Linked DNA regions of Xenopus tropicalis. The protein of the gene in region 1 purifies or fractionates together with the protein of each later gene. This does not show direct contact. Links are inferred from orthologs where the notes say so. Each region holds a gene or a part of one and is shown on either strand. Other genes may lie near its edges.

The links.
Region 2: the proteins of fbxw7 (region 1) and sox9 purify together in Homo sapiens (affinity purification with western blotting; 4 studies listed by BioGRID and IntAct, with this or other methods). This does not show direct contact. The link is inferred for Xenopus tropicalis from reciprocal best matches to the Homo sapiens genes FBXW7 and SOX9.

What each region holds. Positions count from the first base shown.
Region 1 is NC_030677.2:55,439,081-55,443,285, reverse strand, and holds the start of fbxw7 (F-box/WD repeat-containing protein 7), read right to left. Parts: upstream 2,938-4,205; 5' UTR 2,809-2,937; intron 1-2,808. UniProt on the Homo sapiens protein: Substrate recognition component of a SCF (SKP1-CUL1-F-box protein) E3 ubiquitin-protein ligase complex which mediates the ubiquitination and subsequent proteasomal degradation of target proteins.
Region 2 is NC_030686.2:30,590,491-30,594,762, forward strand, and holds the start of sox9 (transcription factor Sox-9), read left to right. Parts: upstream 1-1,397; 5' UTR 1,398-1,689; coding exon 1,690-2,120; intron 2,121-3,867; coding exon 3,868-4,121; intron 4,122-4,272. UniProt on the Homo sapiens protein: Transcription factor that plays a key role in chondrocytes differentiation and skeletal development.

The DNA of each region.
Region 1 (4,205 bases):
AAAACTTGCAGAGAGCTGGGCTGTGTATTTTTAAAGCTACAGTGGCCTAGAGCTCACTGAATTTGTGACAGCTACCAACCCAGCAGAGAAGATAAGCTGTGCTCATGGTTACGTATTGAGTTAACTTGCAGTTTCTACTCACTTCTATTGATAATCATTTGCTACTATACAGATGCATACTATTGAAACAGCACTTTGTGGTAAACCATAGTAGCAGCGCCGGCAGCATGCAGCCTGTTGTACTGGTGAGGAAGGTTAATGCTGTAGCCCTCCTACTGTTTGTGTTGAACTAAAAACCTAAAAATGCCACACAGAGCATTCTCATTCTGGGAGCAGTACTGCAGCTATAGCTGTGCTGGACAACTTTTTTTCTTTTTTGAAGGCTTGGCCTCTTTGCATTAATAACACAGAAGGCAGTTTATATACTTTATACAAACCTGGAGCAACTGCTTAGAATGAAAAAGACACCCCTATACATGTCATGAATGTAAATTACATTGCTAAATATAATACAGGCATTTTCCACCTACTGTAATATAAATTAGTAAAGAGTTATCTAATAATAGGGAGTACTGAACATGTGGCCCGGTCCAGAAGACAATTTTTTGCTACATGTGCTCTATATTACCTAAAGCCATCTTAATGCTCTACATTTATTTAATGCCAATAATTTGTGGGGTTTTTTCTCATATTTGGTTCAACAAGGCTGTGTTTAACTGCACTGCCACTAAATGTGTAGAGGGAAACTTATTACACGGCATATAAATGAAAATAATTACCCTACAATACATACCCCTGTGATGGGCATGCCTACACAAATATAATTGTGTGTAGTGCATGTTGCTTCTGCCTCAGTTCCAAATTTCAAGAGTCAGAAAGCAGCAGCTCCATTAAAAGCTCTCAGAAAAGAGAAAGTCTCTCAGTTTCCATTACATGTGCCATAAATGATAGCACTGACAATCTTTGTGTTTTGTCTCAGTGACTTCTAACAGAGAAATGAAAAAAGCAGGTCCCTTCACCATGTGCCATAACCCCAACAGGTGTAACTTTATTTCACTCTAGTAACAGAGCAGAGAACCACTACACCTTTGATTATCATCATCAAAACTAGGGGTGACAAGCAGATTTCAGCAATCTACTGTCAATCACAAGTGACCACCAGGAGCTTAATTTATGCTATTAGTAGGTACATTCATGCCCTAAAAACAGTATATACATCTTTAGTAAGAGCTTTTTTTAATATACACATAATCCAGGAATAAAAGTGCTTTATAAAGGGTCCAGGTTGTATTTAATCTTTGGTATTTCACTTAAATAAACCTTAAACTAGGGTTCAATTAACCTTTCAACCAGGTAGACATTTGGAATTCAGAATGTTTTAGGAACAGAAGAGGCTCTGAAAACATAGACCAATAATTCAAAAAACAGGAACATTCAAATTAAAGTCTAATAGTCCATGTTTCTATTGCGGGTCAGTGACCCTGTAACTAGGTAGCTTTTCCAGCTGCAATTTGGAAGAATGTGGTAAATAATTCAGAAAGAATACAACACGAAAAGTTTATTTTAGGACGGGCAAAATTTTGTCCACACTAAAGACTGGAGTTAATTATATATATAACAAATTCTTTTATACAAAATTCAAGTTTTATTGCATCCCATACTTTATGTTACTGCAATTTGGCATCCTCTGCCTTTCAATCCTATTACAGTAAATGCTTACACTAGGGATGCACCAAATCCACTATTTTATAATCTGCCTGAACCCCTGAATTGTTTGCGAAAGATTTGTCCAAATACTGAACCAAATCCTAATTTGTATATGCATATTAGAATAAGGAAGGGTTGAAGAGAACCGTGCATGAAAATTTTTCAACTTCCGTGTGATGGATTCTAATTCGTTTTGGCCAGAGGCATGGATTTGGCCAAATATGGATATAAAAGGTCAGATCTTGGCAGAATCCTGCACCAAATCCTGGATTCAGTGCATCACTAGCTTATACACATAAGTAACCTTATCTTTAAATAAAGTTTCACTCTAATCCCCCATATGAAAACAGCTAAATGGAGCAGCACAGACTAAAGACAACACAAAGCTGGGTTCTAGTGTGACAAGTCCCTTACATGAGTCTGAGCACTAAGTGGGAATGTTCTCACCATCAGACTTCTCTTACAATGGTTTGCATAGGGTGTTGCCCCAAGATTAGTACTGTGAGCACAGCATGCCTAAGCATTAGTACTACCCACTTACTTTGGGCAAGAAAAGGATGAATTAGGCAACTTGCAGTTCAGTAATGTGTGTCACAGGCAGAAGCCCAAGTACCCCTACAGGCTGGTTTGGTGTAAATAAATTCCACTTCCAAAAAGTCCACTTCTGTAGTTCTAGAGTCTTGAGGCAATGTTTTGGATTTCATAGTATGCACAGATATACAGGATACAGAGGTATAATTGTGTGTGTGTATAAATACACAATATACACAGAGCTATACTGTGCATATGGGAGTTAATACTTACAACACTTGCACACTACACAATCTCCCAATAAAGAGTTGCCTACAAGTCTATACTGAGTACAGCAGTGGTCTTCAAAGTGCGGCTCGTCAACTGTAAAACTACAACTCCCAGAATTCCTGGACGGATTCTGGGAGTTGTAGTTAAACACAGCTAGAGAGAAGGTAGTTTTGTGTCCCTGTAGCAGGGCAAGTAAATACAAATCTACATCCACTAATGTACTACTTTAAATTATTCCCCCACACACTACACTATTTCTTTAAAGCGATCAAGTCCCGGCGGTGGCCAGCGGCCAGTTACCTGGGTGGAATGACTAGTCGGGGGCATTCGCTGCCTTTCCTGGAGCCCACACGGGCAGGCACGCAGCTCACGGAAGGAAGGCTTCTCGCCGAGAGACAGGCACGGGAGGAGAGGGAGAGAGAGGGCGCGCCGGGATGACGTCAGTCGCTCAGCAACAACCAGGGCAGCAGTCGTCGCAGCGGCTTGATGTCATACGTGGGAGACGGAAGTAGGAGGCTACTGTTACTAGCCGCTACAGTTATGTTATGGTGGGGAAAGCAGCGGCGGAGTGTATTCAGCCTGGTGCTCGCAGGTGCATGTACCGCCTACGTTAGTAAGGTCAGTGAGACTCCGTACGATTAGCTCCAGCGGTTTCTCTGATTTTCAGTCTATTGCCGAATTATAGTTTCTTGTGTCATACACTGAGTGGTTGCAGTGTTCAGCAACAGTGATCTAAATGAGCCGGGGTGCCTTATACATATCGCTTCCGATGAGGATCGAGCTGCAGAATGGGGGGGGGGGGGAGACAGGAATTTAATTAGAACGGACAGCACACGAACGTGGACAGGCAGGTGTGGGGCACAATCACCCAGGGATAGGTGCCTACTGGGGGAACAATGCCTTGAGGCGAGAGATTCCAAAATGAGCCCTCTCCCCATGATGTAGGGATGGATGGTATCTTCAGGTTATAGTCATAGTTACCAGTATATATTACTGTCTGTCTGAGAAGGGTCTCATTCATTCAGTTCTCTAAAAAAAAAAAAGTCTAGTTGATTTGACTTATTGCTATAGTTATATATTACTGTCCATAGCCATAGAAATCATAGTCCCCAGTACATTCTAGTGCTATACTCCAGCAATAACTTTAATGATATTAATTTCATCAGAAGAGTTGAAAATTGCCTTTATTCCCACGGACCAAGACTAATGCATGGATAAAAAAAATGTTTGGAGCAACTGAATGCTAATATAAATAGTACAAAGTTTGCATAGTCTGTTTGGCACATGGGCTTTAATGAGCACTGGGTAGCACATACTTTCTACATTCAGAAAGGAGTCAGGACAGAGTCTGTAGGATAGAATTAAGGATTCATTATACTTTTGGGACTTTATTTCAAGATTTGTTTTTAAACAAAATTGTTAAATTGTTACATTTAAGCCTGTGCTATGGAGAATGGTGATGCTTTATAAATAAATGCCCTTAATTGTTTAGGTGTTGGAGATTGCATTGGCACATGCAGGTCTATAGAATGTTAGCAGTTTGTGCTTACCTGCTGTGTCCTTAGCACTCTAATGGTGAATACCGAGTTGAAGATAAAACCTGAGCTAATGCTAAAAAGCCTTTTTTTTTTTTTTTTTTTAAAAAGGAAATGATACCGCCTATTTGACATGAGTTCATTCATTTGTATTAATAATTT
Region 2 (4,272 bases), on another chromosome or scaffold:
TCTGCTAATTCCTTACAAAAATCAGTTTATACCATGCACCCAAAATATATTGTATGATTTTAACTTTATGTCATTATGAAGACATTAATTTCCTGGAAGAAATGAGAAAAGACGATAGATGATAGATAGATGATGATGATAGATAGATAGATAGATGATAGATAGATAGATAGATAGATAGATGAGAGAGAGAGATAGATAGATGATAGATAGATAGATAGATAGATAGATAGATAGATAGATAGAGATAGATGATAGATAGATAGATAGATAGAGATAGATGATAGATAGATAGATAGATGATAGATAGATAGATAGATAAATGATAGATAGATAGATAGATGATAGATAGATAGATAGATAGATAGATAGATAGATAGATGATAGATAGATAGATAGATAGATAGATAGATGATAGTCTTATACCTCAGTCCTGCTCTACAGCCCCTGTGTAACACTGGACTCTCTGCTTGGCAGCCAAGTCAGATGGATTGTGCGAAATGATCGGACGAGCTTACTGTATGATGCCCTCACTCGCATTTTCAACGGTATTATGCACAACCCCATACAATCATATATAAATATATATACATATATACATATCTGCAGTTTATATGTGCCCAGCTAAAATTCCCAGCAGCCCACAAAATCAGGTAGCCCTGGAATACTGGGCGTTGTGGTGCAAAAAGTAAAGTAAAGGAGTCGGGCTGTAGAAGTGGTGGAGCTATAAGTTTATAGGAGATATGAGCTCTCTGTATACACGTCCCTATAGGTTTATAAGACCAAAACGATTGTATAGCTCTCTATAAAGGCAGATGTTTTGGAAAGGAATAAAACATGAATCAGTGTTTGGTACAAACTATTACATAAGGAGATTACACATATAGCTGGAATGGCATCACTCTTCCCAAGAGCTTACAGTCTAACAGTAGCTATTTCTAATAAAATGCCATTGGTTTGAGAAGTGCTGCTCCAGGACTTGCATGTTGTTGAATAGCTGAATTCCTGCATACAGTGCTCCATGCTATGCCTGCTGGGTATAGGTGCCAGCCAATGAGCTGTTAGGTGTATTGGAGTAGAACAAGACACATTACATAACAGCGTTTATATCCTGTATCTATTATTTGTTATTTGCTTGTTCCCCACAAAACAACTACATCTGCAGCGAGACAAAAGCAGAATTTGCTAGTAGATATCTGAAAAAGTTCAACTGCACAAATTCACTCTCTTCCCTGATTTTTTTTTTTTTTCAGCAGAGCTTTCTACTACCCCCACCCTCTCCCCTCTCCAAATCCCTACAGCCAATCCGTGCTCTCCGCTGGGGGGGGCGTGGCTCCCAGTAGAGGAGGGTATTTATGGCAGCGCTCTCCGCTTGTGGAACAGATCTGAAAGTGGAGCTGTGTGCGGGCAGAGGCAGGAGAGGGGCTTTAGCTACAGCCAATATTGCCAAAAGCCATAGCAATTCTGCATTGGGGGTGCTGACAAGTGAGCAGAGGCTGAGCCCCGTGCATGTTTGAAAGGCCTTGGAGGGCCACTCTCCCCATTGCTTTGGGTGCCTTTGCTGAAGAGCCACTTCCATTGTTCCTGTGAGAGACTGGGGTGCGGGAAGACGCGGCTCTGCCCAGACAGTGCCAGCCGCTCAACTCTCTTCGCCAACTTTCTCTCCATTCTCTTCGCACCGTTTTGCGCATGAATCTCTTGGATCCCTTCATGAAGATGACAGAAGAGCAAGATAAGTGCATGTCCGGGGCCCCCAGCCCAACAATGTCCGAGGACTCGGCTGGCTCCCCATGCCCCTCCGGCTCTGGCTCCGACACGGAGAACACCAGACCCCAAGAGAACACTTTCCCCAAAGGGGACCCGGAGCTGAAGAAGGAGACAGAGGACGAAAAGTTTCCTGTGTGCATCAGAGAGGCGGTCAGCCAGGTGCTGAAGGGATATGACTGGACCCTGGTACCGATGCCAGTCAGAGTTAATGGATCCAGCAAGAGCAAGCCTCATGTCAAGAGACCCATGAACGCCTTCATGGTGTGGGCACAGGCTGCAAGGAGGAAGCTGGCCGACCAATACCCCCATCTGCACAATGCAGAACTCAGCAAGACTCTGGGCAAGTTATGGAGGTAAGTGGCCACCTCTGTGAGCTTGGGGTTGAAGGTGTTAACATGCATGTAACCTCTTTTCATATGGTGGGAAATTGGGGAGGAGTTGGTTTTGATGCAAAATGTGGTTATTGCTGTGCGCCTCTGTATTGCGCAGCTGTATTGGCACTTTGCGCTTTGTGCGCGTCTGTAACTCTCTTGCCTGTCTGCTGGCGGCTCCCTTGGCACTGTATTCCAGGCTTGCCAGGGATGTGCTGTAGGTCTGTATCGGTACAGCCAAGATCTGCTAATTAGCTCTGGTTAGATGAATCATAGATGGTGCCAGTCTGCCAGCTCTCAGTCTGACTGTGACAGGATCTCCTTACCAGCTGAGGCCCTCTTTTGTAATTATGGTTTTGGAATAAAAGAATAAGGATTGTAATAGCGAATCTGTTTCCCAGCTTGTTGTGCTGCTGGGTTGGGGCAGAGCGAAATGCAGTGGGCGGTGTGGGTTCTGTGGGTTGTGTTCCCAGTACATAATGTAGAATGTGAACTTATGTATGGGGCAAGGTGGTGGTGGTTGTTGGATATTGCTCAAAGCACAAGGCAGGGGATAACCAATAATGCAGTTAGTTGTGGTTGGGCAGTGGGTCATGCAGGAGACTTAGCTGGTGCTAGGATCCCTATAATATATTAAAATATTAATGATGCCTTGCTATGTGGACATTGCAGAATGCAGCGGGTAGTGTAGACCAGAGTGTGAGTGATGTGATTAATGCAGAGGGTGTTATGCAGAATGCAGAGGCTAATAACTAATGTGTAAAACTGTCAGTGGTTATGCAGAATGCAATAGAAATGTGCAACTGGCAGAGGGCTCTGCAGACCAGAATGCACAACATTAAAGTGAAGGTTTTATCATTGCTCCTGCACGATTATGTGTAAAACAAACAGCAAGTATTTGCACTTTATAAACTACGGCTTCCTTGTTCTTTCTCACATAGATGCATGTTAGCTACATTTATACATGCGGTTTATGCAATAGTGGTACAATTAGGGTTTGGTGGACTCCTATAAAGGGGTATGTGCTCAGGTGGGCCCTGTACCTCTAACTCATAAATTTGTCGCTTGTTATAGGGTTTTTCCTTTTGATTGTATGCTGTAAACCATACCATTTTTATGGGTGTCAGGACCATTAAGGTTAACCCCTTGTTGCTGTTGCAAGGATCAGGTGAATAGGGCAATATAATTATAATTGCGGGCAATTAGAAAATGACTCAGACCACTTTAAATAAGCCTTTGCGCTCTTATCAGATGACTTAAATGCTTCCTGCACTATAAAACTGGATTTTTCCAGCTCAGATACTGTTAGTTTTCATTTTACCAAAGCGATGCCTCTTGCAGCACCCCACTTTAGATTACTGTTCAGGGCAGAATATGTCCTTTAAATGAATTTATGGAAATACTGGACTTTGAGAGGAGAAGGGTTTGTGATTAAGAATAGGGGGCCCAGGCAACACTGGAAACCTGGGACCCCCTTACTTTAGAAGTAGTAAAAAGTTATATAACTAGCCTTTTACTGTCTCTCTAACTATAGAATAATCCTTAAATGTGTAGGTCACAATAATATGCCCAGAGGGATCCAAGGGGTCCTTTTCTGATGCTGGGGCCCTGAGAAAATCGTCTCTAAAACCCTGGATAGGAGTGTAATTAATATGCAGTAATTAGAAAAGTCATTCTCTGTACTTTGAGATTATATGTATAATGACCACCAACCCCATTGCTTTTTCAGACTTCTGAATGAGGGCGAGAAACGCCCTTTCGTGGAGGAAGCAGAGAGGCTGCGAATCCAACATAAGAAGGATCATCCAGACTACAAGTACCAGCCACGGCGCAGAAAGTCCGTAAAGAATGGGCAGTCAGAACAAGAGGACGGCGCTGAGCAAACCCACATCTCCCCTAATGCCATTTTTAAGGCCCTGCAGGCTGATTCCCCACATTCTGCCTCCAGCATGAGCGAAGTCCACTCTCCTGGAGAACATTCAGGTATGGAGCCTTTACTTGTATTGGATAATAGAGGGTTAAATCATTTTAACATACTGCAACGCATTGCGCATTTGTTTAGCAGAGAATAGGTTAAACTGCTTGCTCCTTTACTTTGGCATTGCAGAAAGGGAAATTAGCCCCTTAATTTGTC